4 linked regions of the Caenorhabditis elegans genome follow. The protein of the gene in region 2 purifies or fractionates together with the protein of the main gene of each other region. This does not show direct contact. Each region holds a gene or a part of one and is shown on either strand. Other genes may lie near its edges.

Evidence for each region.
Region 1: the proteins of gld-1 (region 2) and alg-1 purify together in Caenorhabditis elegans (affinity purification with mass spectrometry; 2 studies listed by BioGRID). This does not show direct contact.
Region 3: the proteins of gld-1 (region 2) and cey-3 purify together in Caenorhabditis elegans (affinity purification with mass spectrometry, with the first as the bait; 2 studies listed by BioGRID). This does not show direct contact.
Region 4: the proteins of gld-1 (region 2) and cgh-1 purify together in Caenorhabditis elegans (affinity purification with mass spectrometry; 2 studies listed by BioGRID, with this or other methods). This does not show direct contact.

Annotation. Positions count from the first base shown.
Region 1 is NC_003284.9:13,946,466-13,957,163, reverse strand, and holds alg-1 (Protein argonaute-1), read right to left. Parts: upstream 7,676-10,698; coding exon 7,642-7,675; intron 5,903-7,641; coding exon 5,664-5,902; intron 5,562-5,663; coding exon 5,389-5,561; intron 5,243-5,388; coding exon 5,072-5,242; intron 5,019-5,071; coding exon 3,556-5,018; intron 3,501-3,555; coding exon 2,548-3,500; intron 2,496-2,547; coding exon 2,457-2,495; downstream 1-2,456.
Region 2 is NC_003279.8:7,692,652-7,700,487, forward strand, and holds gld-1 (Female germline-specific tumor suppressor gld-1), read left to right. Parts: upstream 1-3,029; 5' UTR 3,030-3,044; coding exon 3,045-3,233; intron 3,234-3,284; coding exon 3,285-3,486; intron 3,487-3,532; coding exon 3,533-3,670; intron 3,671-3,715; coding exon 3,716-3,840; intron 3,841-3,885; coding exon 3,886-4,002; intron 4,003-4,050; coding exon 4,051-4,194; intron 4,195-4,239; coding exon 4,240-4,452; intron 4,453-4,495; coding exon 4,496-4,759; 3' UTR 4,760-5,571; downstream 5,572-7,836. Other genes in the region: rlbp-1 (Rho-GAP domain-containing protein), read left to right, coding at 471-569, 621-871, 917-1,052; T23G11.4 (Hepatocellular carcinoma-associated antigen 59), read left to right, coding at 1,691-1,769, 1,874-2,517; T23G11.10 (uncharacterized protein), read left to right, coding at 5,650-5,740, 5,785-5,894, 5,946-6,161, 6,204-6,386; gna-2 (glucosamine-phosphate N-acetyltransferase), read left to right, coding at 7,035-7,255, 7,303-7,465, 7,516-7,836. UniProt on the Caenorhabditis elegans protein: RNA-binding protein which recognizes the 5'-UACUCAU-3' RNA consensus sequence. Binds sequences in both the 5'coding and the 3'-UTR region of rme-2 mRNA. Binds sequences in the 3'-UTR region of cye-1 mRNA. Binds to cyb-2.1, cyb-2.2 and cyb-3 mRNA.
Region 3 is NC_003279.8:5,569,270-5,575,571, forward strand, and holds cey-3 (CSD domain-containing protein), read right to left. Parts: upstream 3,681-6,302; 5' UTR 3,649-3,680; coding exon 3,532-3,648; intron 3,414-3,531; coding exon 3,103-3,413; intron 3,057-3,102; coding exon 2,687-3,056; 3' UTR 2,527-2,686; downstream 1-2,526. Other genes in the region: pqn-52 (DUF1080 domain-containing protein), read right to left, coding at 436-617, 713-808; rmh-1 (RecQ-mediated genome instability protein 1 homolog), read left to right, coding at 3,974-4,234, 4,281-4,735, 4,815-4,950, 5,017-5,527, 5,625-6,134, 6,208-6,302.
Region 4 is NC_003281.10:7,493,809-7,501,550, forward strand, and holds cgh-1 (ATP-dependent RNA helicase cgh-1), read right to left. Parts: upstream 4,025-7,742; 5' UTR 3,987-4,024; coding exon 3,882-3,986; intron 3,835-3,881; coding exon 3,331-3,834; intron 3,286-3,330; coding exon 2,868-3,285; intron 2,847-2,867; exon of another isoform or gene 2,769-2,846; intron 2,720-2,768; coding exon 2,454-2,719; 3' UTR 1,512-2,453; downstream 1-1,511. Other genes in the region: C07H6.9 (Serpentine Receptor, class Z), read right to left, coding at 5,025-5,237, 5,280-5,422, 5,467-5,557, 5,601-5,639; sap-140 (U2 snRNP-associated SURP motif-containing protein), read left to right, coding at 5,954-5,986, 6,049-6,181, 6,224-6,336, 6,446-6,618, 6,669-7,742. UniProt on the Caenorhabditis elegans protein: Probable RNA helicase required for oocyte and sperm function. Also required to prevent the physiological germline apoptosis mechanism killing essentially all developing oocytes.

The sequences.
Region 1 (10,698 bases), on a different chromosome or scaffold from region 2:
GTGTAATGGCTTTTCCTACAAAACTACAACCTAAAATACCATGCTTCTGTTTTTGCATGTAGTATTTGATTTTACACACGCAAACTCATAAATGGTTTTGTTAGGCAGGCAAAGTTGAAAACTGGTTTTTAATCGCAGCATACATATGCAACAGTTTTCCGATGGGAATAACAAAGGAAATTTTGCATATTCAGGATATGTTCCTGAATTTGACAATAACGTATCCTCAGTGTGCAAATATATTTTTGATAAGCCTAATCTGCAATAAAAGTCTTTGTTAAAGTTTTAGCTGTTATTTTATGAATTCGGGGAATTCGTCAGAAAGCTCAAAGTTCTCTATGTAATCTGCAAAAAAAAGGTAAATCAAAAAATGTAAAATATTTATTCTGTTTATCAAATCAAACACATTTTACCTGTTTTACCTTTAAGTTATGGAAATCTGTTCAGGATGAGTTGGGATCCACAAAATTATGACACAATTTTTGAATTTATAGCATATAGATTGCCAAAAATTATTGAGTTTTTTGTCCATTTGTCTCTGAAATAGAAAAAAAAATCTTAAAAGAAGGTTTCAGAGGTCACAGAATGTTTTGTGATTTTTCAAACTGCTATAATTCAGAGTTAAAGATGTAAGCATTTGTTTAATTTCCAATTTTCATATGTGTTTTGTACTCATTTGCAGAAAAATATTAAACATCGTCATTCCAATGAGCTATTCCTAGCAGCCAGATCATAGGGGTTGCCACTACATATGAAATCCTCGTTTCGGACTTCAGTTGTTTCATTTACAACATCCATATTGTCTGCCGGTCTGAGATTTTTTGAAGGATTCTGAACATCAGATATTCATATACCCAGGGTTCAAGCATTCTGAAAATTTTTTACAAAAAAAATATAACAAATTTTGGTCCCTCATCGCTTCATTTGCAAAGAAAAAAAACAAAATCACACATTGTACAAAATGCATGAGAATGCAAATTACAACACAAATGCGGAAAAAGGTTTTCTGTGGGTGGGGTGGGGGGAAGACTTTCAGACATCAGGATCAGGGGGAAGTGGGAAAGGGTTTTGAAAGAGAAAAGGGTTTGTTTGGAAATACAGTAAGACACAAAAGTTGAGGTTGAGAGCGAGTTTTTTTTAGTTAGGCAGCTGGATCAAAAATATAAGAGCTTAGGGGACGTCAGGTAGAGATGTTGAAAGTATGACAAATTGTGGAAATGAAGTGAAGAGGGGAGTTTTTTAATATTATTTTTTGGGTTGGAAAATTGTAAGTTAATTTACTGAAGATTAAATCCTAAAGTTAGAGTAATTAAATGTTACAATAATTTTGTAAATAATAAAAACCCTAAAAATTAGTATTTGCAAGAAAGAAAGTGAGAGAGTGAATGAAGAAAGAATCAATTGGAAAGATGCACTTGACAAGATATATTGGTGATTTTTTTGATGACAGGGTATTGAGAGTTCAAGAAAAAATGAAAGATTGTAGCACAATGCAAAAATATTCAACTGAAGGTGATAAATATTGCGTCAGAATTTTCAAATATGTGAGTGAAGTGAACAATCACGAAGTTAATGCCATAACAAATGCAGAACTCTGCACGAAAATAGAAGACACCCAGAGTAAATTTTACCGATCACGTCTTGATGGGTGGTCAAGTGTTCCAGGCGTCCATCAGTATATGTGTTTCAGCATTGAAAGCCATAAACTGCCACATACGTGTGGATTTGAAGTGCAAGAACATACAAGACTCACCAGGAGCGCAGAGTAAAATCTAGCCCAAATTTCGGCTATTTTGCGGAGAAAACATCAGCATTCTCGTAATGTTTTTAATGGTTGTTTGGGGAAGGAAGTCGAATAGGTCAACATCAAACGCAACTAGGACTACTGTAGGCGATGAGAAATTGGAAGGAATTTGACAGATCAAGCCCGTAAGTTGAAGAAAGAAGCATTTCAAGATGATTGCTCAGCGAGAAGATGTGAGTGTGAAGAGAGGAGTCGTAGTGCTCGGTGCTCTCGGAGGTTACAAGGTGGAAAGACGACAGCAGTGCATTTGGACAATGTAATCAACTGCGAGGAAAAATATTAAGGATATTAAATGGGTTTTGAAGCTTTGTAGGCTACCAGGATGAGAGGAAAAGTCACTAAGTAAAGGCATTTTGGTTGTGGGAAGTGAAAAATGGATGGAAGAAAGAAAACAGTTACACGAGAGGTAGCGGCAATTAGAATTACAAATTAAATATGGAATTTGAAAACATAAGAGTCCGATTATAGAAAAACATTATAACATTGTAGCATATTGAAATCAATTTGAATGGAGATACAGATACAGATAAAGACACAGAATTATCAAGATAGATATTAGGTAGACATGACAATATTCAATACTCGTCTTCTGTTAGAGCAAGTTGGTGAGTAATAGCTATCTATGAAGTCGATTCCTAGGCAGATTCCTAGTTTAAGCAAAGTACATGACGTTGTTGGCATCCGGATGAACCTAAAGTGTTTAATTTTTTTCAAATAGAAACTAAATTAAATGCCAATATTACCTGCACAGCTCTAGCCATGTTCGACAAGGTGGTATCCTCGGAAGTTCCAGATGGCTGAGAACCTTCTCCAGAGTCATGCTCGCGATCGACAAGATGATAACGAGCGCGGAACGCTACCAAATGAGCATAATATGCTGGCGCTGGAATTGAAACGGATCGTGTGCATCTGACGTAGGTATGGCACATTTGATATGTGAGCTGTTGAAGTTCGTCGGCTGTCAGATTGTTGTCATCCCAAAGAACATGGTAATGGGATGGACGAGATGTTCCTTGAATACCAGCATGAGAGCACAAGTAGAAGTCAAACTCGGTTGGGTGGGTAATTCCTACATCGACAGTAGTTCCTGGCGGAATATTGTATGCTTTTCCGACTTGATCCTTCTTATCAACAGCAAAGAGACGAGTGTGATGTCTCTTTTGGACGGCGATGAAAGTGATTCCTGGTTGATATCCTCTTTCAAGCATCATGCAAGCCTCGCGAATCGCGCGAAGCTCATATTGAAGAACGTTGAAGAATTGCCCCTCAGAAACTCCATCACGGTAGACAACGATTCTGGCTGGCTTGAAGCGAGTGTTGCGGTAGAATTGAACAAGAAGCTCGCGGACCATGTAGGTTAAATCTGAGATGATCTCTTGACGATGTTGTTGGACACGGACGGTTGCAGCATATCTGCTAGGATGAGCATCCATTGAGCCGACAACTGCTGCGATGGATGGTTTGCGAGAGTCTCCTGCTGGTGGATGAGTGATGTCACATCCAAAGAAAATGACTGGTTCGTTGAAGATTCTTGGGCGTACGTTTGGAAGCAGAATACTGTTGACTCCTCCAAGCTTTACGTTCATCTTCAAGCATAAATTAGAAAGAGTTTGTGGAGTTGTTCGGATTGCGTTCTTGGCTTGCACGCACTGGGTGGCGATACCCAAAACTGTGTCTCCAACACGTTTAACTTCAGCTGAAAAATTAGAAAATAAATAATCAGAAATAAACAAAAAAAACAAATTACATACCATAAACTGGAGTTTTTCCAGGGAGAACAACCACTACAAGTTGAATTCCAGAGTAGTTTTGTTTCAAGTACTTGAACATTGGCTCAACCTGCTCGACTCCAACAGCGTACTTGCAGAAGCATGGATTTCCGACGATTGGCATACCAGCGTCGTTGGAAATCCGCTGAAGCTGGTTGGTGAACATGCGGAGATCGTTCTCCTTGACATGCTGTTGTTGAGCAAAACAAGCGATCGCCCAGACACGAACATCGATTCCAGTGTGGAACTGTTTTCCACGCATATCCCAAACTCCTTGATTCGGGAGAGCGGTGGCTCGAGTGCGTCCACCGTAGAGAAGTTTTGGAGCAGAAAGAACGCGTCCCTTGACTTCAGTCATTGCTGGGTTGATGGTGATTCCGAATTCGTGAGCAAATGGATCAGCTGAGAACTCGGCCTTGCGGACCAAGTTGGAAATCTCACGCTCACGTTCTGGAGCAGAACGAGCTGTAGCCTTAATCATTGTCGATGTCTGCACATCCGTAAGCTTCTTGATGCAACGTTGTCCTGGAACAATGTTGCACACCTCTGGTGGCAGGTAGGTGTGCTTTTGTTCCTGTCCAACTTGGAGGCATGGCAAGTGTGGGTATTTGAGTTGAATTCTGTACTTGTCATAGAAATACTTGGCGACAGTGCACTCAATAGTTTGACCAGTCTCCAATTGAAGTGGGAAAGTTTGAGTTTGAGCTGGACGACGAGTGACGTTGCAGACACGATACTTTCTGCGCATTTGTCCACAGTGGGTGATTTCAATTTTGAGACCACGAATTTCCTTGGTGAACTTGACACGTTGAGCATCAGATAGAGCACGACGCTCAGCAAGAGCTTGAACTGGAAGCTCCAAAACTTCGGCGATGAACTCAATGACTGGCATGGAACGATAGAAAGCAGTCGCAGAGACATCAATGTTAAGCATCATTTTCCACTGAGATGGGCGAACCGACTGATGGAATCCAAACCAGACTTCACGGCCACCCCCGAGTTTGCTCTCGGCGTGATATTGTCCAGCGGAGTGGGCACCTCCTGCGACAGCTCCAGAAGCCTGGGGAGGGCATGATCCTGCCATGACTCCAGAAGCATTAGGAACTGGTGGCGAGAAGAATGAACGTCCGACAGGAGTGTATTTCAAGCTTGGAAGATGACGAAGAATGACATCCATAGCTTGAACGGCTTCGAATGGAACCTGGCGAACTCTTCCTTCCATGGCATCCTCCAGAGTGGAGAGAGAAACTTGTCCGACCCATTTCAAAGAAACCGAAAATTGACGCTCAACGGCGGAGTCTCCAGGAAGTGTGACATCGAAATCCATACGTTCTCTTCCAATTGGAAGGGGCTCGCGGGTGTACATATTGCGCTTTCCATCGTAAACAGGGCGAATATTAGTGAAGTACTTGGAGAATGCGCTTATCAAGCAGCTGATAATCTCGCTGAAAATTGATACAATTAATAAGTTAGTTCATTTTGGAATAATAATGATTACCGATTAACTCTTCTTGGGCACTTGTCTGGAGTAACATCGACCTGGTAGTGTTGAATAGTTCCTCCAGGAATTCTCACTGCAAAGTGGTTGGCGCGAAGAAGAATTGAGCGACCCTCAACTCCGTGGTTTGGGCGTCGAGGACATTGGAATTGAATACCACTCTGGTTGCCGCTGAAAACATTTACATTTAAAAATTCCACATTTTTTCGAAAATCCCTTTTTTGAAATCAAAAATTAATGATTGCCAGTTATTGCTTCTCACGGGGGTTTTTTTTTTGATTATACCGTATTAGTTCATAACATTTCAAATTTCTTACCCAGGTAATTGTCCCGGTGCTCCGCCTGGTAAACCGCCTCCAAGTGTATTTGCTGGTTCTCCAATTGAGACACTTGTATTACCAATGGGAACTCCTGGAGCCAGGCTTCCGGCTTGTCTTTGAGGAACATCGCTAAATGTTTGTGGCTGAGTAGGCGGAGAATTAAATATTTCCTGAAATACAATGTGTAAGTTCAAAGATTTAAAAATTATTACAAACTAATAACAAGATAATATCAGATGTGTACACTGCGTTTTTAAACGATGAAAACTTACTTCTAGATCATTTTGGAGCGCTGTTGACGCAGCCGCTTGTGCCGACGGGAAAGGCGGCTGCTGGGTGGCTCCAGATGTTGGAACAACTTGCGAGGAGGTGGACGTCGAACTAATCGGTCCACTTGGCAGAAACGACGATGTTGCGCTCTGTGGTTGCTGTTGAATGGTAGAATTCATGACTCCTGGCAAATATTGCGGCCCGCCGGACATTGGGTCGTTTGAGGCGACGTTAGACGACTCTGAAATGAATGTATTGTGAAATGATTGTTCAGGTTTTTTTATAGATCGTCATGCATTTTTGGAAAAAAATTCTACAAATGCAGACAAACCCAAAACTTAAAAAAGAGAAAATCGATATATAGATTGGAAACCGACAGGTTGTTCGTGTGAGGTACGGGGTGGAGGAAAAGAGAAAGAGAAAAGTAAAACAGTGTCGGGCAGCGACGTCAAAGGAGGACGCAACGGCGACTGGACGACGAGGACACGACGAATCGGAAATCGGACTGCTGCGCAAGCGGGCGCTGACAGAATGCATTCCGAAAGATCAAGAGACGCAGACATTCGGTGGCCAGTACTATACGCTATTGTACACTAACAAGAGACTATGCGAAATCAGGAGACGGCAGAGATAGTGTGTCGCGAGAGAGGCGAGTGGAACAAGCAAAATGAGAGAGAGTTGGAAACTACCAAATACAGGGGGAAGCAGGCTGCCGGGAGCGGGTTGGATCGACTCACAAAACAAAGAAAAAGATGGTCTGTGGAGAGAAAGGGAGAGAAACGCGCGGAGTGCTGAGAGCCGATGCGATTAAACATATCGATGTGGGTCAGTTGTCCGATCGGGTGGAATAGATTTGCGATTAGAAGGAAACGCAGAGAGATAGACAACGGACTTTTCGTATGGAAATAGTATGAGTTGAAAAGTGACATAAACTCTAAACAGAAGGGCTTCCAAACAAAAGTGAAATTTGAGAGGCAAAAAGAGAAGGTGTTGGTTGTAAAAATCACCACATCTGGTTGCATACTGTCGTGAATGTGAATGTGGATTTTTAGAATTTTTAGAATTGTTTTTGGCACAATTTTGAGAATTGCAAAAAAAACTAAATGCGCAAAATTGGTAGTAGTAGTTAATTCATCCATTCATTCTGAAAGGATTCCTACATAAATATTAGAAAAATATAACAATTATAGTAAAATTGGAGAAGCACCATAAGGTTGTTCAAAATCACTTATTTAATCACTAAATATTATAGAAAACAATTTCCAAAAAGTTGCTTATTTGTTGCCAGGAGGGTCAACAGAAAGTTTTCACTTCTCATAATTTGAAAGTCTATTGAAAATTATTTCATACAAGTTCTATGCCAAGTGAAATTTCTACAGACTAATCAGAACTTTGACAAAAAAGTTTTATTTATTATCTCAGAAATGTTGAAACTTGGATATTTTTCGATTTTCAATCTCAATTTTTAAAATTTTAAACTTGATTTTAAACACTATTTTCAGTATATTTATCAACGTTCTCACAGACAGTTTTTCGCATTTCAAAAACACTCATAATTATTTTCAAGACCTTTATCAAGTCTCTGTGGTGTCGAAAATCTTGAAGAAATATACATATTTTTCTCAATATCAAAAATTACACTTGGCATTTCTTTCTCAATTTTTAATGCAAATTAACATTATTTCCATTATTGAAGAACACATACAGGATTGTCCCAAAAGTGAACAAATGAATATTTTAAATTATACACATGTGTGAATACAAATATTTTCTAATGGCAAAGTCTCATGAAATGTTTGATGTTAAAGTCAGGGAATTATGTTGCCGGACACCTTTTCAGATTGAATATTAATCTCCCGGAAAGTGCAATTAGATTTGGTGGAAAAATGGAAGAGGAAAAATTGTTAGAAATAAATCTTATGATAACTTCTTTAGTACAGATGTTTATGTTAAGAATAAGTAATAATAAAATAAGCTTACCATTTGTGTTGGTGTTGTTCAGTTCGGCAGCCATGAGAGGGATTGAAAGCGCTGGGTTGGGTCAGTGAGATGGGAAGAGTAGCGGTAGAAGCTTCTGGTTCCTTTAGTTATTGTATCCTTTTAAAGCAATAATAAGGGTAAGGAAGAGGTAGAAGGAGGTAGAAGGACGTCGGTGTTGTCAGTCGGTTACAGATTCGTCTCTTCGAGTTGGCAGGGGTAGTGGAGAAGAAAGAGTTGAACAAATAGTAGTAGAAGAGGAGAAAGTTGATTTTGGCCCGATTGCTGATGATGATTTTCTCAGTGATTGCTATTGGTTAGATTCCTGAATGATGTTAAACTCGTCGTCAGCTACACCGTCTGAAGTGCATATGCCACGAGTGGAGTTGAGAGACTTTCTTGAGGTTTCTCTGAAAATTATTGATGTTTCGGGAAGAAAGAGGGGGAAGGTGAACGAGGGAATGGAGAAGGAAAAAGGAAAAAGCAAAATAGAACAGAAACTGAAAAACAAAATTCGGAATGAACACGATCAAAAAATGAATTCAATGCGAAGGAAGTGTTGCTGGGAAGTTAGCCGTAATTTTCAAATTTATCACCAATTTGTGAAAACACATCAGAAAAAATTGGTGTCTTACTCAAAATTAAAATAAAAACTTTAGAATATTGAAAACTTTGTATGGTATGTGAGCCCAATGTTTTGAATAACTACAAACTGTTTAAAAATGGTCATTTTTAAAATCTTCGAAGCATATTTAATAACAAATCAAACTATCAGCTATGTATTTGAAAAATTTTTCAACTTGTATGAATAGTTTAAGGAAGCTAATACATTTCTGTTTGAAAAATAGCATTTTCAAGATTAATTCAAAATAACGACTTCCGCAAATTCGAAAGATCTTTCAATAAAGAATAAAGTGCATCTGTGAACTTCCTGATCTAGACGAAACACTAAATCCTCTCAAGCACTAAAACTGAAAATGAGAAACGATAATGGTCGGGATAATCTCTTTCCATCAGCTAATCTATGAATACTGAAAAGTACAAGACGGTTCTAGGCCGCACACGCCATTGAAAGCCAACGAAAACCACGGCAGATGGTGGTTAGTAAAAGGGAAAGAAAGAGGAAGAGTGGCAGAAGGACCTATTGGAACTGGACGAGGCTGCCCTGGCATTAGACCAGCGAAAATGTGTAATGGTCCAAGAGACACAGAGAAGCGGGGGGAGAGAGATGCTTTGAGCAGTATAGTGCATTTTATGAGCGGCCTCCCGTCTGTCCCGTCAAGGGTTAAGGTTCATGTTTATGGGTAGTGCCGTGCCTGACACCGAACATGAACAGTTTTGGAATGGACTTAGAAACGATGACAATGAAAATTAAAAAGTTTAACAGACCCAACAATTTAAAAACCAAGTTTCGTTAAAAGATACCCAAGGGGGTGGTTTTTCTTCCGTAAATAATTTGATAATTTTTACAAAAGTGGAAAGTATATTTGCACTAATCAAAAAATTTTAAGCATGAATGAAAGTTTTATGAAATTTGGGTAATATTTTTTGATGAGGAAACAGTTATAAAAGTGCATATTATGTACAGTATGACACTTTTATTTTTCTTTAAACTTTTATTTAAAAAAACACATGGTTGAAATTATGAGCATTCTCATTTATCGTTTTGAATTTTTTCAGTGAAAAACTGTAATTTTCCAATTAGCAGTGATCATAGATTGCTGATTCGTAACACTAAATATAGGTCAGCCATTGATCGCTACCCATATTTGTTCCGTACACACCCACTCAATGCCATCGGCATATTTCTTTTTTTCTATTATTTTTGTGTTTTATATAAAAATCGCCTGACCTTTCCTTGATAAACGTTCGATTATCAGACAATATAACTGGTTGCAAAGCTAACTGTAACAAAGTGACCCTCAGGAAACACAGAGAAACTAAAATAAAAAGTGGTGTGACGGTTCTGTTGAGCATTTGTCGACCGGCTAAGTAAAAATAACAATTTAGACAAATATATAGTACCTAGAAATAATTAGCACGTCTAGTGAGCGACGCCGGACAGCACAAAATGCAAAGACTACGCGGTGACAAGCGGTGACGGAATGCATGTTAACTACGATAAGAAAAATATAAAATTAACGAGTGATAGGTGTAATATGATAGTGCTCTTAAGTTTGACATGTTACACAAAAGTATACAAAATGAAGTGTCAAGAAATAAAAAAGCTTATAAAAAAGTTTATGGAAACAAAAATGTAACTGTCTTGTTATTTTTTGAAATTGAAATCTAAGTTATAACGTATTATCAAAATATTAAAACTGTCACCTCAAATTTGAATCCAGCCAAACCCGCGAAAAATTCCCTCTCGATTTCGGATGCCGAAAATTGGCTCGAATCGAGAGATGAAAAATTCGGGAGATGCTGGAATCAAAAAGGTCTCCGCCTACTTTCTTTCAGATTTCCGCCGGTCACCGCAAAATTGAAAAGGGTGGGTAATACCTGGCGGCCGACAACCCACGGGTTCCGCGCATCGCTATAAATTAAGTAAATTAAGCCACGCCCTTCAAAAACACACCAACTGAATGGGTGTGGCTTAATTTACTTAATTTATAGCGAGGCACGGAACCCGTGGGTTGTCGGCCGCCAGGTATTACCCACTCTTTTCATTTTTGAAGTGTCCGGCGGAAAACTAAAAGGAAGTAGGCGGAGTCTTATTTGATTCCAGCATCTCCCAAATTTCTCATCTCTCGATTCGAGCAAATTTTCTGTATCCGAAATCGAGAGGGAATTTTTCGCGGGCTTGGCAGGATTCAAATTTGAGGTGACAGTTTTTTTTTAATATTTTGATAATAACAGGTGTATTAAAATATTAAATATAGGGAAAGAAAATAGGGAAACATCACACCATTAAAAAGTTCAGTGTAAGCTAAAACATTGTCAACTAATGCTGTTCGAGAAATAAAAAACACTATCGATTGAAAGAATCGAAAATGCCCATATCAATTCAAAGCATCAATTATCACACCGATAATTAACCAACCCTACATGCAGTGGACA
Region 2 (7,836 bases):
AACCAGAAACTAAGAGGCCGGATAAAATAATTTTTAACATAAATATTTTACTAGGTACGATTGGAAATTCAAAATATTGATGTCTCTGAAATTATTTTGGAAATATAAAAAATATTGAATACTGTGTGTTCTCATCTAGAGCAGTGATGTGCAGAAAAACAAGATTATTTCTGAATAATAATTCATATTTTTGAATCAGAACATTAAAATAGAATTCTAGGAAATTATTAAAAGTTGGATTATCTTACCGAAAAGAACATCTTTGTAGATTTTCCGCACGTCTCTAATCTACAGTAAGACCTTCTAGCTGATAAAAATTTCATCCTACCGTATCTCTACAGTAATCCATTGTATTCAAGAAGCAAAAAAAAAGTATTGTTTGAATGTTTTTGGTACGAAAAACCAAAGAAAAAAAGAGAATGCAAAATGAAGAATTTTTTGTACTTAGTAGGTTATAGTTTAAATTTCAGATAAGTGCACGACATGAACGAGGCCGAACGACAGCAGAATTGGACGAACATGCGTGGCAGGTTCAGAATAATATAACTGCAATAAAAAGGCGTTTAAAGGTGAGTTAATCGAATAGTGTATAACATGATAATGTACTTAAATATTTTCAGCAACTAGTAGATGCAGCTCCACAAGTAGTTTCACTAGATACAACTGCAGATAGTAGATGCATTGAAATGTACGAAGAAAAACAGCTGATGGCAACACAAGGAATGCTTCGAGAGGATGTTTCTGCAGAACGTCAACGAGTTGCTGAATTGTGTTGGAGATTGCATAATTGTAAGCAGTTGGTTAATGAGAATGAAGAAGAAAATACAAACAAGAAGATTGATTTTGAAGAAGAACAAGAATGGACGGAGCGGTTAGCGAGTTCCTTATAAGATTTACATATAAAAATTAGTTTCAGGTGCAAATTGGAAGAAGCTGCACGAAGTGCCCTGTTAGAAGAGATTACACGTCTTCGATCTACTTGTGCTGATCTTCGAGCTCGTCTGGAAATGGAGTCACTGAGCAAAGAAGTTATGAAATATGATTCACTCTAGATCGAATGTACTTTTGTAGAATTGTTCTGTTTTGATACTTTATCAATATCACAGCATTCGGTAACGGGGAATTCGAATGTGCTTCTTTTTTATAATATATTTTCACAAAGTACTGTATTTCTTTCAAAATTATTTTTGCATATCAATAGGGCACATTTGCAGAATTAAGTGGAATCAATCAATAATTCTTAGTCTTTTCCTTCCTCAAGTCAATAAATGTGCATATTTTCCATATTCCATATCTACCCCTAACTCACACTCCCCTTCTTTTTGACATTTATATTAGCTTTATCATTCGTTTTTGTTAACTTTAATCACAAAAAATCCGGGCATAATTTCTCTTTACCATCTTCACTTTTCATGTCATTTGTTTTCACTTTTTTTGATAATTTTTTATCATTTGGGTCTTGTTTTTCACAAAATCAAAACTTTTTCACAACTTCTTTTTCAGTAATCCCAGTTTTTCTGTACCGATGTGACCAGATATGTATAAATTTTATTGCATCCAACAATCTCACACAGTTTGATTATTTGAAAAACTGTTCTGATTCAGAAAAATGTTACATTTACACTTTGAAAACTTTTTTCTAAAATTTGAATGCTATTTAATTTTTAAACTTTAAGCATCAACGAACACAATGGCCGATATCTTCAGAAAACCAAAATCAAAAATTCAAAAAAGGAAAATTTTAGAAGACGACGACGTTGCTGCTGATGGTATTTAATTTTTAATCTGATAAAATAATTGTTTTTAAAGCAAATGATAACTTAAGAGCATAACATGCATTAAAATTTTTAATGTTCTAAATTTTTTTTTCCAGAAGAGTCGTCAAGAGTTTCCGATATTCGAGATCTTCAACGATCACGAGAAAGGAAAAATGGTCTCACAGAATTAGAATGCGCAGTTGGAATTTCAAAAGCTGCAGCTCTCGAGGATGGAATTCAAATGGCTGGTGGCGGAATGGTGATGACAAGTAAAAAGAAGGCAGCAATGGAAGCTGCAAGCATTGAACAAGGACTCCGAGAACAATTCGAGAAGGAAACAATGCTGAGAGATGAACATGAAGAATTAAGGAAATATATTGATGACGGACTTCAAGAATATACAGCTGATACTTCTAAAATTGAAAAACAGAAACAACCTTCTTCATCAGCTGCAGCTAAATTTTCATCGCTGAATGCAGAAGATCGTGATGTAGAGCTTTTGAAACAAGCTGCTGGAAAAGTGAAGGGAAATCAAAGCAAAAAGGAGACAGAATTGCTTTCAGAGCATATGCTCGCAGGAATCCCAGAAGTGGACCTGGGAATTAGCACTCGTATCACCAATATCTTGGAGACTGAAAAGAAAAAACGATTCCTTCTTCAAATATCTGCTGCTGAAGCTGCAGGTCTTCCACCACCAATTGAAGAATGTGAAGAATCAAAACCAAAATATCGAAGACGTTTCAACAACCAGCGTCGATAAATTGAGATACACAAGTGTTTTTTATTTATTTTCCTGTTTAAATAAATTCGATTCATTTTATAAAACTCTGAATTGAAAGTATTCAATTAAATTCTGAAAAGCCTCATGCAAATCAGCGCACGGCTTAATAGGCGTGGCCAATTCCTGCCGTTTCGCCACCCGTGCGCGCATTTCTGGAACTTAAAGGAACATGTTGCACCGCGACGTATGGGTCTCGCAGCGATCGCAAACAGGTATACGGTAAAAGTTTCGAAATTTAGGACTTCACCTCAAAACTTTTTAGAGTTTTATTTTTTCGATGCTTTTTGGTTGTTTTATATTTCGTTTCATCTAAAAATTTTAGAAATAATTATTTCTATTTGAATATGACCACTTTCACATTTTCCTCGAATGTTTCATTCCGAAATTCTAGTGAATATTCGTTAGATAAGCTAGATGAGCGAATCGCCGCAGAGTTTAAGCTTATGTCGTTACGTTATTGAAAAATATATTATTACTAAGTTTTCTTACAGGTTAACCATCGAAGAATGCCGTCGTGCACCACTCCAACTTACGGTGTTTCGACCCAACTAGAAAGCCAAAGCTCTGAATCGCCATCTCGTTCGTCCGTTATGACGCCAACGTCTCTGGATGGAGACAATAGTCCACGGAAGAGATTCCCCATCATCGACAATGTTCCAGCGGATCGTTGGCCGTCAACTCGGCGAGACGGATGGGTACGCGAATTTTCATTTTGTTCATCAATTACAGTAATAAAAAATTTTCAGAGCTCTGTTAGAGCGCCACCACCAGCTCGTCTGACGCTATCGACGAACAACAGACACATCATGTCCCCGATTTCGAGCGCTTACAGTCAAACACCTAATTCGCTTTTGTCGCCAGCCATGTTCAATCCAAAGAGCAGAAGTATCTTTTCCCCGACTCTTCCTGCAACTCCAATGAGTTATGGAAAATCATCGATGGACAAGAGTATGAAACAATCTCATGTCTACTTATTTTTCTGTAATTTCTTCAGGCCTGTTCTCTCCAACAGCTACAGAACCAATCGAGGTTGAGGCAACTGTCGAGTACTTGGCTGATCTGGTTAAAGAGAAGAAACATCTTACGCTCTTTCCTCATATGTTCAGCAATGTTGAACGTTTGTTGGATGATGGTACATAACCGCTCTGTGTTCCTACAAGTAATTATTTTATTTTAGAAATCGGTCGTGTCCGCGTGGCTTTGTTCCAAACTGAGTTTCCGAGAGTTGAGCTTCCTGAGCCTGCTGGAGACATGATTTCGATCACTGAGAAGATTTATGTTCCAAAGAACGAATACCCAGACGTAATTTAACGAATTTCAAGTTTTCGAACAACTAAAACATTTCAGTATAACTTCGTCGGTAGAATTCTCGGCCCACGTGGGATGACCGCCAAGCAGCTTGAGCAGGACACTGGATGCAAGATTATGGTCCGAGGAAAGGGATCAATGCGGGACAAGTCAAAGGTTTGATCTTGTTACAATTTTATCTAAAACAAAGTTTAGTTGTTGAAGGAAAGTGCTCACCGTGGAAAGGCCAATTGGGAGCATCTCGAAGACGATCTGCACGTTCTTGTGCAATGCGAAGACACTGAGAATCGTGTTCACATCAAATTGCAAGCAGCACTCGAACAGGTCAAGAAGTTGCTCATTCCGGCTGTGAGTTATATGCTTCGTAAAATCTCTACAATAACCTATTTTCAGCCCGAGGGAACTGACGAGCTGAAGAGAAAACAACTTATGGAACTTGCAATCATCAACGGTACGTATCGTCCAATGAAGTCGCCAAACCCAGCTCGTGTGATGACTGCAGTTCCTCTGCTCTCTCCAACTCCACTACGTAGTTCAGGTCCAGTTTTGATGTCGCCAACTCCTGGATCAGGACTCCCGTCAACGACATTTGGAGGATCGATCTTGGTAGAACAGTTCTTCAGTTTAAGTTTCATATTTTTAATTTCAGAGCCCCACTCTCACTGCATCCAACCTTCTCGGATCTAACGTCTTCGATTACTCGCTTCTGAGCCCGAGCATGTTTGATTCATTCAGCTCTCTTCAACTTGCAAGTGATTTGACGTTCCCGAAGTACCCAACAACCACTTCGTTTGTCAACTCATTCCCTGGTCTTTTCACTTCTGCATCTTCTTTTGCCAATCAAACAAACACCAATGTGTCCCCGAGTGGAGCAAGTCCCTCGGCTTCTTCAGTCAACAACACCTCTTTCTAAAAAGTTCACATTTATAACTCACACTCCCTTTGTTTTGTTCGTTCTCACCATTTTAGGTTACCATAGAATCATGTGCCATACATCATGTTGCCATTTTTTCCCCCTCTCATCTCCCCCATCTTTATCATGTCATCAATTGGTATCTACCATCTCACTCCTTTAGGAATAGCATACACATACAGTTAGTAATAATTATGTAATGAGATACCTAATACCATTAATTCCTTTCTGTAATTTAAACTCGCCCTGCTGCTTTCACCATATGCTCTTTGATTTTTAAGTATCTTTTCCCTTTCTTCGCAGATCTTGAAAAGATATTTTAACATCAGAGAAAAACGGCAGGTGCCCCGGTAATAACATCTTATCAGGATAACCATTTTGGAGAATACTCATTGATACTTTTATTGATGCAGCTATTCCCCTACCCATTCATACTACCTCGAATGCCAAAGCACCCCCTTTATTTTTCTGTGTTATCTTAACGCTAACCCCTGTAGAATCTTCCCGGTTTGATGTAGTCATCAAAAATTTTTCATCTTTTCTAAATTTTTAGTAACTTGAGATTTTAATTTTCTTTCCCGCTAGTTAGATATGTTCAAATCTCACATCCCCATCAAACCAGCCCCAAGTCCCCATTCTAAACCCCTACCCCTTCCCAATCTGTCCATTATAATTTTAAGCACAAGTCCAAGAGCTAATATTTTTAGCAGTCTTTCACATTGACCATTTTCTCGGTACCCTGTTTTTGAGACCAAAATTTTGAATTTTGAAATTGAAATACAGGGCGAGATAAAATAATAAAAAATAGTTTTTATTCAATTTTTCTTCCAGTTCATGTTTTAAAACGATTAAAAAGGAAACATTAGTTAGAAACATTTTCATTTCTTCAAATGTTTCACGTGAGCAGGGATTCAAACTGTTTCCAATCCGAAGAGGATTTTGATGATAATCCAAGAGTTGATGGAGTTATCGAATTACTCAGTATGTGATGTTCTGTAAAAAAAATCGCCAGTTAAAATTATCAGAACTTTTCGTATGGCCTGCAGCTGCAATTATGTTAATTTTCCTTTTACTCCTGGTGAACAATTCGGTTAACATTGAGAAACAAAAAAACGTCCGGAGGCGTCATTTAATGGTATTTGTTATCGGTTATTTTATCAGGATCGTCTAAATAATAATATTTCAGAGCACAGTTCAAAATTGGCATATGCACGATGATTTTATTGCAGGACTTAAAGGAATTAGAAAAGAGGAAGAATGTAAAAGAATGATGTTTTCTGAAAAGTGTGAATATAGTAAACCGGTGGTCAATGCGTTGAATGAATATAAAAAAGAGAGAATTGAAGAAGTAAAGAGAAAAACTTTCGAAAAATCTTCAAAGAAAAATGCAGAAATTGCTAAAGTGGAGGTTCGAATATTTTCACAACTAAAAATTATTTTCTAGGAACGATTTGGCCCGGTTAAAACATTGAAAATGGGTGGAGTATTTCCCAAAAATAAGGCGAATAGTGTATTCTGGAGTCCTGCAGATATTGTTGCATTCAATTTAATGTTTAGAAAAGCTCGAAAAACTCAAAAACTTGCAGATGGTGTGAAGATTGCTTCTATTGATGAAATTTACTCTTGAACTATTATTATCGAAAAAATACGATCGCACAAATTTCTCATAATTTATTTTTGATCTACCTGTTGAACTTGACTCCGCCCCCAATCTTGTTGCCGTTGTTATTTTGTTGTGGCTGTCTTGTCGAAGGAAGGGGAGGAGCCTATTCAACAAGGTAGATCAAAAATAAATTATGAGAAAATTGTGCGATCGTATTTTTTCAATAATATTTTTGGGTTACAATTTTTTAATCAATAAAAAAATGACGATTTTTGAAGCAACAATTTTTATTTCTTAAATAATTGTTTTCAGAAAGCGAAATTCCAGATCTAGACCGGAAATTTGGTAATTTATGACACCGGTCTCGACACGATCGAAAGTTGCATGCGCGCCTTTAATGTGTACTGTAGTTTCCGCGTTTCGATGTTTCACAATTTTCTTCGTTTGTTTCTTTATTCTAAATAATATTTTCGAGAAATATATTGAGTTTTCTTGTAACCATTTAAATAAATTATACTGTACCCATTCCAGACATGCATAATTGCAATTTCACATTTTTGATCTACACCGACTGCCAATCCGGTTTTGTTTTATTGAACTCTCACTAATTCGGCCGTCTTCGATGTTTGCAGAGCGCTCATTCACTTCTTATTATACTCACTTCAACTAACAATGTCATCGATTTCAATTTTCGATGAAATCCTTCTCCCAACAGATATTTCTGTTCCTACTGGTCTCCGTCTTCGTGCTCTTCGAAATGATGATTTTGGATATCTCGAATTGCTGAAACAGCTCACTTCTGTTGGGTTCATCAATCAATTGGTGTTTCGAAAACAATTTGATGCTATGAAAAAGGCTAAATCGTATTACATTGTTGTTCTCGAACACATTGAGTAAGTCAACATTATTTTCACAAAATATTAACGTATTTTTCATTCAGATCTTCTAAAATTATTGGCGCCGCAACATTGCTCATAGAATTTAAGTACATTCACGAAGCGGGAACACGTGGCAGAGTTGAAGATGTGGTTGTTGACGAGAAAATGCGTGGAAAGAAGCTAGGAGCGCTTCTCAACGAAGTTCTTGTCGAAATGGCGAAGACGGTTCGGATTTTCAATTGAATAGTTTTTTTAAAAACTTTTTATAAATTCAGATTGGCGTCTACAAGTTGTCACTTGAGTGCAAAACTGAATTGATCCCATTTTATAACAAATTTGGCTATTCAAAGAATCTTCACTTTTTGGATCAACGTTTTGAAGAACTGGAAGCTCCCGCTCGGAAATCGTCTACACCTGGAAATGGATCAGTTATCCTTTTCAATGAGAACGTTCTTCCGACAAATATGAAACTTCCTGTCGATATCCGTGCTCGCGCTCTCCGTTCCGATGACATGAATTATCTGAAACTTCTGGAGCAACTCACTTCCGTTGGATACGTCACGAAAAATGACTTTGAGCAAAGATTTTCTACAATG
Region 3 (6,302 bases), 2.1 Mb from region 2:
CATGCTATTATTCAATCAAATATTTGGTTATGTGTTAATAATAATAACTTGCATGCATATTTTTTGTATCATTACTTCTTTTTTTTCTAATTTTCTATACTTTTTTGAGTTTTTTCCTGTGGAAAACTTTAGCGGTTCGTCGTGTTAGTAACTTGAAACTAGATATCATGTATTAGTGACACTGCAACTTTGAACTAAACAAACACTCATACACCACAATCATGCTTTTATCAATTTCAGATCTGAGGAAAAATGGATTCACACTGAAAACTAACGGGTTTACGCTCTCCTTCATGTCCCTAAATACACTTTTTGTTTAAAAAATGAATAGATAAATTGTGTAATTGATGTCCTATCAGCAATTGAAGCATGTCAGAATCGAATGCTGGCCTCGGATAAACTGTTCGACGAAACAACTTTTTTAAAACGACGTACCAGTATCCAACAAACGAGTTTGTCTGTGTATGGCCGTTATTCTCATTAGCTGGGAATACCAAAAAGTCATCTGTTGTACGTCCATCACGAAGATCTCCATCAAATCCAACAGTCGTCCAGTATTCTTCCTGAATTTGAGAATCGAGTCCACGACATCCTCCCCTTGTCACGAATCCTTCTCTCTGAAAAATAACTTTTGAAAGTTCGAAAAATTCAGCCGGTTGTCATTAAATATATATTTACTATTAGAAACCAGCTGTCACGTAAACGAACTTACCCCTCTCATTTCCATATACTTTCCCCGGCATTTGGCAGCTTCTGTTGCAGTGCATAGAGCTAAAAGTAGAACGGTGACGAGTTTGAGCCCGCTCATATCTGAAAAGATGTAAAATCATTAATTGCAAAAAAGGTTATCGATAAGTTAATGTTTAAATATTATCCGAAAGGAAGGAAATAGCTTGCATTTATTGAAGTCAAAGCAATTTAGGTTCTTCAAGTGAGGAATTTAGAAAACAAAACTAAAAAATGAAGCTAGAAGTGAGTCTGAAGAAAATGGAGCAATTTCGGCTCTCTTTTATGTGTTATGAAATTAGAACCGATCAAATTGCGGGCTGTGGGGGAAGTGACTACCACCTGATTGCCTAGAATTTTGCCGACTAAACGGAGTTTTTATTTTATAAACTAAACGCATGCTGATCATGAGCATCTGAGAAACTGCACACCCGAACACAACTGAGAGCTAAGAGTGAGCTCAACTCATAAATTAGCTTCAATCGGCACTTTTTACACTTTCTCAGACTCGTCTCCCGCTCTTCGTCTCAGGGGTCATGTATTCCCCGAAGAATCTATACAAATTTTGTATCATAAGTGTAGTCGGTTTGGTGGGAGCAAGAGCACAAAAAAAGAATGAGCACATACACACAAACATTTTTCAGCGAGAAAATTTGACGACTGATTTTGTTTCTTATCTCTGAAAAATTATGAAAGGCGTCGTCGTAACAGAAAAAGAATTGATTAGGGGGGTTGCGCTGCGGAAAAATGAAAATGGCATTTTTGGAATGACGCTGAAAATTATCGAAAAGCTGAAACTTGAAAAATGACTAACATTTCAAAATGATGACTATAGCAGAAAAAATGTATTTTCTACACTTGCCGTAGGCGGAAAGGATTTTTAAATCTTGAGTGTCAGAAAAACTATAAACATAAATTAGGTCTAAATTTCGTTGGTGTGATCGTATGGAATGGTATTATTTGATTTAATTAATAAGTTCCATTTATCAGTGACTCATGAAAGATGAATTCTATCAATTTTAGTCATGACATGTCGTATATGACATCAAAAAATGTCAAGAATTTGAAAGGTAAAGTTTAAGCTAGAAAAGCATTCAGAATAATGGAGAAATGTCAAGCTTCAAATTTTGAAATTGAGTGAAGTGAAATAAAATTTCAACATCTAAAAATTGAGGGAAAATAGAAAGGAATCGAAACGTTCTGATAAGGCATATGTTGAAAATTACATCGAAGTATAATTCTTCAATAAAAAGACATCTGAGACGGCATTCAGAGGATTATTATGCGTGTAAGTTCCGCGTTTCAATAAAAATGTACTTTGCTGTTTTGAAACTATTATATGACTTCTTTTCTAGTTGCCCTTAACCTAAAGAATTCGTATTCCGTTAGTATTACAGAGCGGCGTAAGTGTTTGGACACCGTAAAAAATATTGTATACATCAAAAACTGCAATAATTTTCTGACCAAAATTATTACTATCGATCAAAACTCAACGGGTATAATAAGAAACCGACGCTGAAGACTACTGATAATTGATTTTATTTCTGTTTTTGAAAGTTATCGCAACGACAAATTTCACACTATCAGATGGTTGGAGAAAACTCAAATTATTTTATTGCTTATCGCGGCAAATTTATACCTTTAGCAAACATCGAATGGAAATACCTACGCTAGTTTTTCCAAAGCTAATTCTGAAATTTCCGTTTTCAAAAACCTAACTAGATGAAGCTCGAGAACCGTTTAGAAGTAAGAATCGATACCAAACAAATTAGATCGTAATGCGGGTGATGAAGAGAATTATTTACTTTGCCGACTTTCGGTTTATTATAAGAACACTTCTCTTTACAGGCTGACACAAAATAACAGATTTGGGGACATAAAAACATGCAGGAAACGGGGATCTAGAATTCTGTGCTATATAAATAAGTACAAAAGATTCAGGAACACAAAGCAATGAAATTTAGATCTGAGCATCAATCAACTGAGCACCAAGGCCAGCATCGTCGAGAGCAGAATCGCAACGATCGATCTTGGAGAGTCCAGCTTCCTCAGAGATGATCTTGGTGCAGGATTTCGAGTCCGGAGAAGCAGTTTCGGAAGAGGTCCCGAGAGATTCAGTAGTAGCAGAAGAGTCGGCAGCATCACCTGCTCCCTTCTGGTCCTTCTGTTTGCGGTTTTTATTCTTACGCTGCTTTCTTTGCTTCTTTTTCTCCATTGCTACTGCCGGAGCCTCGACAAGCTTTTCAGTTTCCTTTGAATCAAAATCCTCTCCAACAACGATTTTCGGTTTACGATTCTTACGGAAGCGAGAGAGAAGCTGATGGCGATATCTAAAGTAACTAGTTTTCCAACTTTACTTGTCAATCAATAACTCACTTCGATCCAGAAACATTCACCCCGGCTGGTCCGGTGACATTTGCAGCCTCAGGTCCATTCTTACCATCGACCAGATCGAAGAGCACTTCCTCCTCATCGGCAAGTGTCCGAAGGTAAAATTTCTCAGTGTCCGATTTGGAAATAGCTGTTTGGTGAACGAAGACATCCTTCTCTCCATCACTACGGGAAATGAACCCATAGCGACGAAGTACAGAGTACCACTTCACCTTTCCTTGAAGTCCAGCGGTAAGAACAATCTTCGCCTTCTGCTCCTCCTCCCAAATGCGTATGCGCTCGGCAGCTGGCAGACGCTAAAAATCATAAAATTGTAAATGTTGTACATTAGCACGTCATGCATCATAAAGAAAACGAACTACTTCAAAACAGTCAATGGTAGTTCCCAAAGAAGTGAGTTTTAAAAAAACTTACATGCTTGCTTGTATCATCCTTGCTTGGCGATCTTTTCTTGCCGATGGAGAGATCGTCGAGTTTCTTTTCGATGACTTGCTCATCTACTTCGACAGCAGTATTCGCAGTGTCCGACATTTTCGCCGTAGTTGCTCTTAGCACTTGAGGTACTGAAAAACAAGACTACATTGAGTGACTGAAGCTTCAAGGGTCGACGGCGTGCAGAAGAAAAGAAAAAAGTCGAAAAATGACAGATTAAGTGATAAACGCTCGCGGGCCTGTGGTCCCGTACGACCGTAACCAGCGTACCTGCACATCAAACATTTGGCGGCGCTTCAAGGTTTTAAACGCATTTCTTACATTTTTTTGTTAACAAATTTGTTTTCTTATTCAATGTTACACACATTTTCATTATTTTTTGTTGGTATTTGCAGAGCGAACGCATATAAAAACTACAAAATATATGAAAGAAACTGAACTTGATCGTCTTTTCTCTTGGCTTGCTAGGAAACATTACCCATTCAAGAGAGAATGGCTAAGAATATGCGTCCAGTATATCGAAGGATCACTCGGACAAAGAATTAAAACTGTTGATGTGAAGCAGATTGGTGAACTTGTCATACAACAGTTTTTGAATTCAAAAATATCCGAAGCTTTGGATCCCACCATGAAAATCCCAACGAGCGCAGTAAAAGTTGTCATTGTTAAAAGAATGATTTTCCAGGTTATTAGTTTGAAGATCTGCCGAAAATCAACAGGAATATTTTTAGGTTATTTCCTCCACGAATATATCAACATCCTTGTACGAGCAATTGTCAGAATGTACTCGACACAACGAAGATTTGGCTTGGTTTCATGGCGGATCCAAAGCTGATCACGAAGAAGAAAATCGCGACAAAGAAAAAGATGTGGCCTCTGATCGCATGAATCATACGCAGACGAAAAATGCAATTAAGAAACGAGGAATGCTGAAAATTGAGCTCACCGATGGTGTGAATACTTTGAAAGCAATCGAGTTAGACGAAGTATTTGATGAAAAAATTATGCTACCCGGTGCAAAGATTATTCTCACAGGAAAAGTTAAATGTCGTCGTGGAAATCTTCTACTGGATAAATCTAATTGTGCTTTTCTGGGCGGCCGAGTGGAATCACTAAGTTTTGATAAAGTGGCACAATTATCAAATGCATTGAAGGTTGACTTAGACGCGGAGAAGAAACGAAGAAAGTAAGTTATCACTTAGATACATTAGAAATCAGACATCATCTTAGCTTGATTTAATTCTTCTAGTAAATTCAATTTTCAGAGCATCTCTGGAAAACGCTGCTGCTTCTGTATCACGAAATAACAAGAAACAAATAGACAAGAAAAATCTTTCCCTTAATCAATCATCGCTTTCTCCATTTTTAGTCAAAACAAGTCGAATAACGGGAGAGGTCACTGTAAGTATTTAATCTAGTTCCACTACACTTCTTTCAATGGCTTAAAAACAGTTCTGAAAATTACAGGTTCCGGTGAAACAGTCTTTGGTGCCTACTGCGTCACGTATTCTACCATCTTCCGTAGCAGTTATTCCCAGCATTCAAATAGAGAAACCAACAGATCCTATTGAAAATTGGGATTTTTCAATCGAAGAAGTTCCGCAAGAACCAACTCCAGAACCACCAAGTCATCATGTACGGGGCCTTGTTGAACATTATCCATTGCGTTCAAAACCACAAGATCCGCTCCCACCACCTCCAACGAAGCGTTTATCTTCATTAATAATTGATAAAAATTCGATTTCAAAAGTGTCCCAAAACATTTCAAATCAGGTCGAGAAAGGTCTACTGCAAAACAAGACGATCGAAGATTGGACTTTCAATTCGACAAATTCCTTTGACAAATCTAAAAAAGTTATGTCTATTGATAACTCTAAAGATCAAAAAATGAAAATCAAGGAACTTCCTGGACAACTAATACGACCGACTCCAATCGAAAAACCTATAATCGGTGATCCTAGAATGAACAGTGAGAAACGTAAGTTAAAACAGAATAAAATATAAAAACCTTTCAGCTATAATATGATCCTCTTAACAACAACTATACCACAAAAGTTTCAGTAAAAGTTTTCCAGGCAAAGATGTTTCCGTATGGGTTTGGGAAGATCGGAAAGGATCAGAAGAGGAAGACATTGCGGCGAAAAGGATCAAAAAGATAGATTCAGTTATGGAGATTCCATTATGTTTTGTGAAGGAAACAACTCGCCAAGCGAATCGAAGTAATGAAGAGAGTCGTCATAAATTAAATACATTTGCGCAAACAATTCATGGTCCTCGTAGCAAGATTGACGATTTTCGAGTCAAATCGAACAATGTTCCCGTTTTCAAACAAATTACAGATCACTTTATAACTGTGAAAAGTAATCCTAATTCATTCACATCTTCTACGCGTCATACACCACCTCAAATGCCGAAAGTAGTCGATTTTGGGAATTTTGAAGATTATGATGAAGATTATGAAGATGAAGTTCTGCCAACATCTTCGTTCCGAGATCAATTAAAACAAAGAAAAAGTCTAGATAATCATGGAGAAGATGTAGTCTTAGAAGAAGAAATGGATCATGTAGATCACGATGAATCTATAAGTGAGTTGTTTTTTAATTTATCGGAAAATTTAACTGATAATCTCGTGATATTCAAAAAAATATTTATATTCAGTTGAATGTACAATGGATCATGAGGGACGTTTGGAATGCGAACGATGGGGATTGCGTGGAAGGGAATCGAATATTATTGAGGATGATAAACGGAAT
Region 4 (7,742 bases), on a different chromosome or scaffold from region 2:
GAAAAAACTCCACTTTACTGTACCTTCAGAACTTTGACGAAAAGTTTTACAAAATAGGTATAGCTCCACGTTAAAGCTCTTTGTAACTCAAAAATCCGATCAAAAATTGTTTAGTGTAAAAAAGTGAATTTGAAATTTGAAAAGAATTTATTTAGAAATGTATCACACCGTCCACTTCTCCTTCATTTCAATTCAAAACCGTTTTTCATTCTTTTTTTGACACTTAAGTGGTCATCAACGCTGTTTAGAATATCAATACACTTTTTTGCGATATAAATGGTCAACAAAAAATAATGAGGGAAAATGAAAACAATTTTTTAAATAATAAAGTTAACAAATCCTTCTATATAAAATATAAAAACCTTTGAAGAATACTGTAATTTTTAAATTTCGTTGCTGCGGAATTAATTCCGGAATTTTCATCGATTTTTCATATTTACCATAGTTTTTCGATTAAAAATATTTATTTACTAAAATACTAATACGAAACAATTAAGACATTTAAATTTCAACAAATCGTGAAACTATGAAAAATCGATGAAAACTCCGCATCACCACAAGTTTGAAAGTACAGTAATCTTTCAAGGCGCACACCCGTTTACGTAAAACTCGCAACATTTCGCGTCTGGGCAATAAAACTTTGTTGTACTTCGCATTATTTTCCATTATAACATCATCAACGAAAAATGAAAGACTATTTCAATTTATTAATCGGGCGCGTTCGTCTGGAAAATTTTCTGAAAATGGTCATTTTGTACAATGCAGTAAATGTGAGTAATACGAGACTAACCTCGTGATTTATCGATGGAGTTGGTCAAAAAAGTTATATTTTTATAAACTTTTGTTATTTGATTAAAATTAAAAAAAAAGATGCCTAAACCGTATAAAAATCAGAGAAAAAAATAGTTTCGATGCCATCACTTGTCTCTCTGCGGATATCGCGCAAAGAATTCCAATCCAATTCAGACCGGTTCGAGCCGCCTGTCATCGACGGATACGGATTGTTAACATTTGCATAATATTACAAAAGGCGAGGATATACATATAGAAAAGCATATGAGAAAATGAAACTAAAAAGAATTTTCAAAGTCATTGCGGTCGGAATCCGAATACACACTAATAGATTAATGTAGACGTTCCGACCTCTCCCGTCACCGCAATATCAACTAATATTACTGTGCGCGGCGCGCATTACTGGTGCCGATACGGATGGGCAATCACCTCTCCGGATGACACATCCAAGAGAGAAACAGTAAATTGAATACCGACCTCAACCATTGCCGCTGGCTGACTGTCAACACATTCAACGCCTTCCGCTGCTGTTGCCAGGGAATACGAGAAACGAAAGTAAATCGTCGCATTTTGTTACTTTCATTTCACATGGTCTTTCACTCGGGAAATGCGCTAATGTGCTTTAATGTATCTCTTGTGGGTTTTCGGTTTTTCTCAAGGCTTTCACTACTTTCCTCTTCATATGAAACTCTGAAAAGAAATAACAGAAGACGATGTTTCGATTCGGTCTTTTATTGTTAAAGATGGCAATCATCCAGAAGGAAGCTTGCACATCCTTTGTGAATCGAAAAATTGTGCAAATTTTTGGTGTCAACTTCTACAAATTATACAATAAACAAGAGGGAGGAGGCGGGAGAGAACAAATGGTTTTGGAATGGGGATGGGGGAAGAGCTGTAAGCGAGACACATGGCCAGCCGGAAGCCTTCCAAGACATTATAGTCTTTGAGCCATTTGACATGATAATAGTTGCAATAAATATCTATCAGATTAGGAGATGGACAAGTTGAACTGGAATGAGCACAAGAGCGGAATAAAACCCTACAGATGGGCAAGGGAAAACCGCAAGGATGGTGGTTTTAAATTTTGGATGCATTGGTATGGGGCATGAAGGGAGAATTGTGGGAAATGAGATAGGAAATTACAAGATTGATCAATGTGGTGCGGCTCAACAGAATAACTACAGAGCCGGCTACCCAGTATGATACACGTCAAAAAGAACCCGATGTGTATGAACAATGTCCTTACACTCCCAAATATATTTTGCAACGACACATTAATGTCGAAACAATTTACTTTGGGAGCATAAAGACCAACTTAAATGACTATGTAAAACACAACGACTTGAATGAGTTACAGTCCATGACTGCAAGTTGGAGGGTATGGGGAAACTAATGAAAAAGAAAAATTAGAATTTTACACCGCATATAAGTGGAACGGGTTGATGGGGTCCGGGAAGGTGGATGGGATACAAATAATGTGCGGGGATTTGAGAAAACAGGAAGGAAAGATGCTTATGCTTGAACAATATTAAATTTAGCACAAACTGTGCATTTAAAGGAAAATAGAGAACATACACAATCTGGACGAGATCACTAGAATGGAAAAAAAAAACGTAGGCGACCAGTGTGTTTTGGAGGTTTGGGGATATGAGAACTAGTGTTTAAGCAGTGGTCTCATCGGCGGCATCGACGAGCTGCTGGTCAGCGACATACAGCTTCGGGTCAACCGTTTTCGGGATGGGCTCAATGCGAGTACGAAGCTCCTGCTCGATACGGCGAAGGGTGTGACGGTCTTCGTAGGTGATAAGGTTGATTGCAACTCCGAGGTGACCGAAACGTCCAGAGCGACCGATTCTGTGAAGGTAAGTCTCGGCGTTTCTTGGGAAGTCAAAGTTGATGACAACATTGACAGCCTGGATATCGATACCTGAAAAATTACAATTATGCATGAACTACACTTTAAAATAAGAAAAATGGCGCTCAGATATCCGTTCTTCAATTATCTCTTCACATAACTTCAGAGTGTGTGTATGTGTTATCAATCCTCATCGCGCAAATTATTTAGTCAAACTTACCACGGGTGAGAAGATCGGAGCAAACCAAGTTTCTGCAGTTTCCTTGACGGAAGTCATGGAAGACACGGTTTCTGTGATTCTGAGCCATCTTGGAATGAATGTAGTAGCACGAGTAACCGATTTCCGTGATTTTCTTAGCGAGAAGCTCAACACGTTGAGTAGAGTTACAGAAGATGATCGACTGGTTGATTTGAAGTTTTCGGAACAACGTATTCAAACAGTGGACCTTTTGCTTCTCTTGAACAAAGGCATAGTATTGGGTGACACCAAGAAGAGTAAGCTCCTCCATGAGGTTGATCTCATACGGCTTGTGCATGTGCTTCTGCATGAACGAAGTGACGGTGTTAGGGAAAGTGGCAGAATAAAGCATAACTTGACGCTCCTTTGGGAGGAAGTTGATGAGGCGGTCGAGAATTCCCTGTAAACGAGAATTGTTATCTTATTCAAATGTTAATTTTTTTACCTGGAAGTCTTGACTAAGAAGTTTGTCAGCCTCGTCAAGAACAAGTGTTTTACAATGTTCCATTTTGGCGACTCCTTTCTCCATAAGATCGAGAATTCTTCCTGGGGTGGCGATGACCAAGTGAACCGTTCCGTTTAGACGCATGATATCATCACGGAGATCAGTTCCTCCGGTAGTGACCATAACTTTGAGCTGAATGTGTTTGGAGAGCTCCACGCAGATCTGTGAAGTTTGGAGAGCCAATTCACGAGTTGGGACAATGACCATGGCTTGAATAGCTTTGAGGGCTGGCTGGATCTTCTCGATAACAGGGATACAATAAGCTCCGGTTTTTCCTGTTCCGTTCTTAGCTCTTGCGAGAATATCTTGACCAGTGAGAGCGACTCCGATGGATGCTTCTTGAATAGGACTCGGTTTTTCCCATCCTTTCTCAAAAATCCCCATGAGAAGATCGCGTCCAAGGCAGAAATCCTCAAACTCGACTCCCTTCGTATCAGTGACATCCTGAAAAATGAAATGGTCACAAAGTCATATAGGCTTTGCAAACTCACAGCAGTTTTGAATCTTCTGTCTTTTGCTGGAAGATTGAGACCAGCCTTCCAGTTTTCGTCGCCATTGTTGGCAGGAACGATCTGTTGTTGCTCCGCTCCACTCATTTTCCGATGTCGTAGTAGGTTTGATTTCCTGATGAGATCTGTAAAATCGAGATTAAAGTTGAGAAGTTGTTAATGGTGTAAGTTGAGAAGTTGTTAATGAAGGAAGATAAGTTTTTAATGCGAAAAAATGATACCTATCGAGTTTACTACAATTTTGTTAGTCATGGAAAAATCATTCAAGCATTTTCAGAACAATTAGGAGGAACGCTAAATAACACTGAGATAATATTTATGCGAGACAACCGGTGTCTGTCTCGCGCTCGTATACACACGATCAATGACGGTTAGAAAAAGCAAGCGAGTGGTCGGCGGCGCATAGAGACGCACAGACACTCTTTGGGTTGCTGGAGTATCTAGCCAACAGGGTAGCCGATGTTTGACGACGTGGCAATTGACAAGAAACAATTTCAAAAGGTCAGAGAATCACGACAATTTTTTATTGATACCTTCCAGTTTTTAAGCGACTCTCCAAACAATAAACGCGAAAAAGTTTATATTTTACATTCGAAAGTTTGAAAGAACACTTTTTGTTATCGTTTTTTAAAACAGGTTTCTGAGCTACGAAACTGATAAAAATCTTCGGAAAACGACTGAATCTATCAAGAAAGTGTCGATAACAGATTGGAGCTGCCATCGTCGCCTAAAACTCTTAGAAATCTAGAGAAGAAACACAGAAACACGTGGAGAACAACGGCCAAAATGAAGGAAATGTGCGAAGAAACGAGAGTGTGGAGAGAAAAACTGTGAGAGCGACGGGACGAGTAGGCCAAGCTGCTGCGAGCGACGAGTGAGAGGCATTTCGCTGCGTACATTCAACACACAAAAGTTGAATACTCAGCCAACGCGCGAAACAAAATGGCGGTAATTCAAAATTAGATTTCAATGAAAAACTTTACGAAGATTTGATGCGAAATTTCTTGAGAATAATAATGAATTAAATATTAAAAAGAATATACCAGCGTCGATGAAAATTTATTAAAGGATAATTAGTTCTAAATGTAATGAGTAATGTGATTACTTTATCGTTTTTCGATTTCCTCATTTTTCTAATTCGAACTCCTCATATTCAACCAGAAATCTGTGATATGCGTCACATCTAGCTCCGTGATGGCAGTATACGATGAATATAAGAAACCGACACGGTTGGATAACACAATTGAAATACGCCAAATCCACAATAGGCAATATTTTCGAGCTGCCAACAAAATAAATTGTTCCGAAACAGGACACATCCACCACCATTTTTATAAACTGAAAATCTTAATTGAAAACAGGAGTCAAAAGAAACGTTACATTTGTGGTAATCGTAATAACATTGAGACGTTGGACTCCATTGTATGATATAAAATATATAACTATCAAAATGCTTGTTAGAAAAAATAACGAAAATTGAATGTAAACAAGTGACAGATACACGAACGACTCTGTCTTCATATCTGCAATTTTAGTTGTTATATTTTTCCACTTTTTATTTTCTTACAGAAATAAGCAGATCCAAGATAAACCGATTGGTACCAAGTTTGTAAAGCTTCTAGGCAAATCATGTTTATAGCAATAGGACTCCAAGATCCCTTAAAATTATTTATAAAGGCAGAAACATTACAGATAACAAACTTGATCGAGATTGAATAACGGCGGAGGAGATAGACTCATAATTCTTATATGCAAATTATTTAAAAATGGTTTGTTATTTTATTTATGAATTATATGATTTGAACGTTAAATGTTAATAATAATATGAAATTGCGTGTAACTCATGAATTGAAATTAATTACGTTATTATTTTGTTCTTTCTTTTTTCAAAAATAAAATGTTTCCTTACTTAAAAGTCGCGCCGAGATCCGAAAACACGCCAAAGTGGTTGCTGGCGCGTTTCATCATAATTGCTGACGCATTGTCAGTGCCTGGTCCATTTACTGGGAAAAATCTAACATTTTAAATTATTTCCCGGGAAATTTCCCCGCAATATGAGTATGGAATGGTCCAAAAAGAGAAAGAAAGTAAGTTTCCTTGTCAACTTCTAAGTGTCACAAGCTTTAATAATACCGATTTAAAAGTTTAGACATCTGACGATGAGGAGGCGAAGTTGAACGATGCTTTGTTGGAGTTCCAAGCAGACTTTGGACAATCTTCGTCTGTTTCTTCTCAGCCTAAAACTTTTCTGAGAGGAAATGTTGTCGAGGGAAATAAGATTTGTAAGAAAATCCATTTGAAAACTATATAAACTGAATTTTCAGCTGCTGGCGACGGTGGAATCTATGCACCAAAGTTTTCAATGAACATTCCGTCTAAAACTTCGAACGTTGGATCCAAAGATTTTGATGAAGCGAAAAAATTAGCAGCCGCGAAGGTAAAATTAATAAATTTCATGCGCTTAGTTCTTCACATTGTTTAAATTGGTAGAGATGTGTTCGTTTCTTAACGGATGTTTTTAGTGAAATAAGAAACACTATATTCAGGCTCGAAGGATGCTGGAAGACGTAGCACGAAGCAAAAAAATGACAGAAGTGCCGAAAGTTGTCGTGCCAACTACGAGGCCGTTTCAAAGACCCCCGAAGCCTGGCAGCTCGAAAGCGAAACAAGATAAGCCAAAGATCAGTCAAATGGAAATGTTTAAAATGGAATTGCAGAGGTATATTGCTAAAAAAGAATTTCGAAAGAATTATATCCGTAAAATTTCAGAGTTCAAGAAGATCGAGAAAAACGGAAAGATTTACGACATCATCTGGAAAAAGTTGGAATGGATCAAGCTGTAGTAGAGAGATTGGCTCCAACAGTTGAAAGAGGATTCCAGGGAACGTCGGAGTTTGACGATGACCCGTATACTACAAATGTATATGTCTCTAATATTCCACATTCAGTAACGGAAGACGATCTATTATTTACATTTGGTTCGTTCGGACCGTTAGCCGCACTGAAAATTTTGTATCCGAGAAGCGAAGAAGAGCGAAGACGGCCGCATATTTGCGCGTTTGTAGCATTTATGTCTCGTGCCGATGTGGATAGATTTATGGCTGAAGTTCGTGTAATCATCGTTCGGAATGAGCCAATTCGTTTCGCTTTTGCTCGTCCTGTCCAGATTCCTGCTATTCCTTACTACATTCCACCCGTACTTCATGCCCTTCAACATCCCGATCCAACTTCAAATTTACCCTTCAATGCACAACCGGATTGTGCTGATGCCAAAAAGTTTCTAGAAAAGTACAATACATTTCCACCGATGCATGCATTGCCAACAAAAGGACAATATGGGTATGAGGATTTCACAGAACTGATACGGAATTCACAAATTAGAGTTGTTGTCCCCCCGGACAGGAAGCTGGTCAGAGTAATGGATCGAATGGCCGTTTACGTTGTAACCGAAGGACCTCAGTTTGAAGCTATGATATGTGCAGAAGAGTTTCAAAATCCAATGTTCCAATTTCTTTGGGATAATACCAGTGCTCTTCACGTTTACTATCGATGGAGAATTTATTCGTTGCTTCAAGGAGACACTATTGAAGAATGGCGGCGCACTCCATTTCGAATGTTCGAAAATGGGTCATGGTGGATTCCACCGTATCCCATCAATGAGTTAAGAGATGCAATGCCAAAAGAACTGTATCATATGAATTGCCTTAGAACCTATCCGGATAAATGGATGAAAGTACGTGACGGAGGTCAACGAAGAGGAGGTGAGAGCTCAAAGAATCGTCGGAACTCGGATGCTGAAAAGGAAGAACGAAAAATGCGCAGGGAAGAGGAAAAAGAACGGAA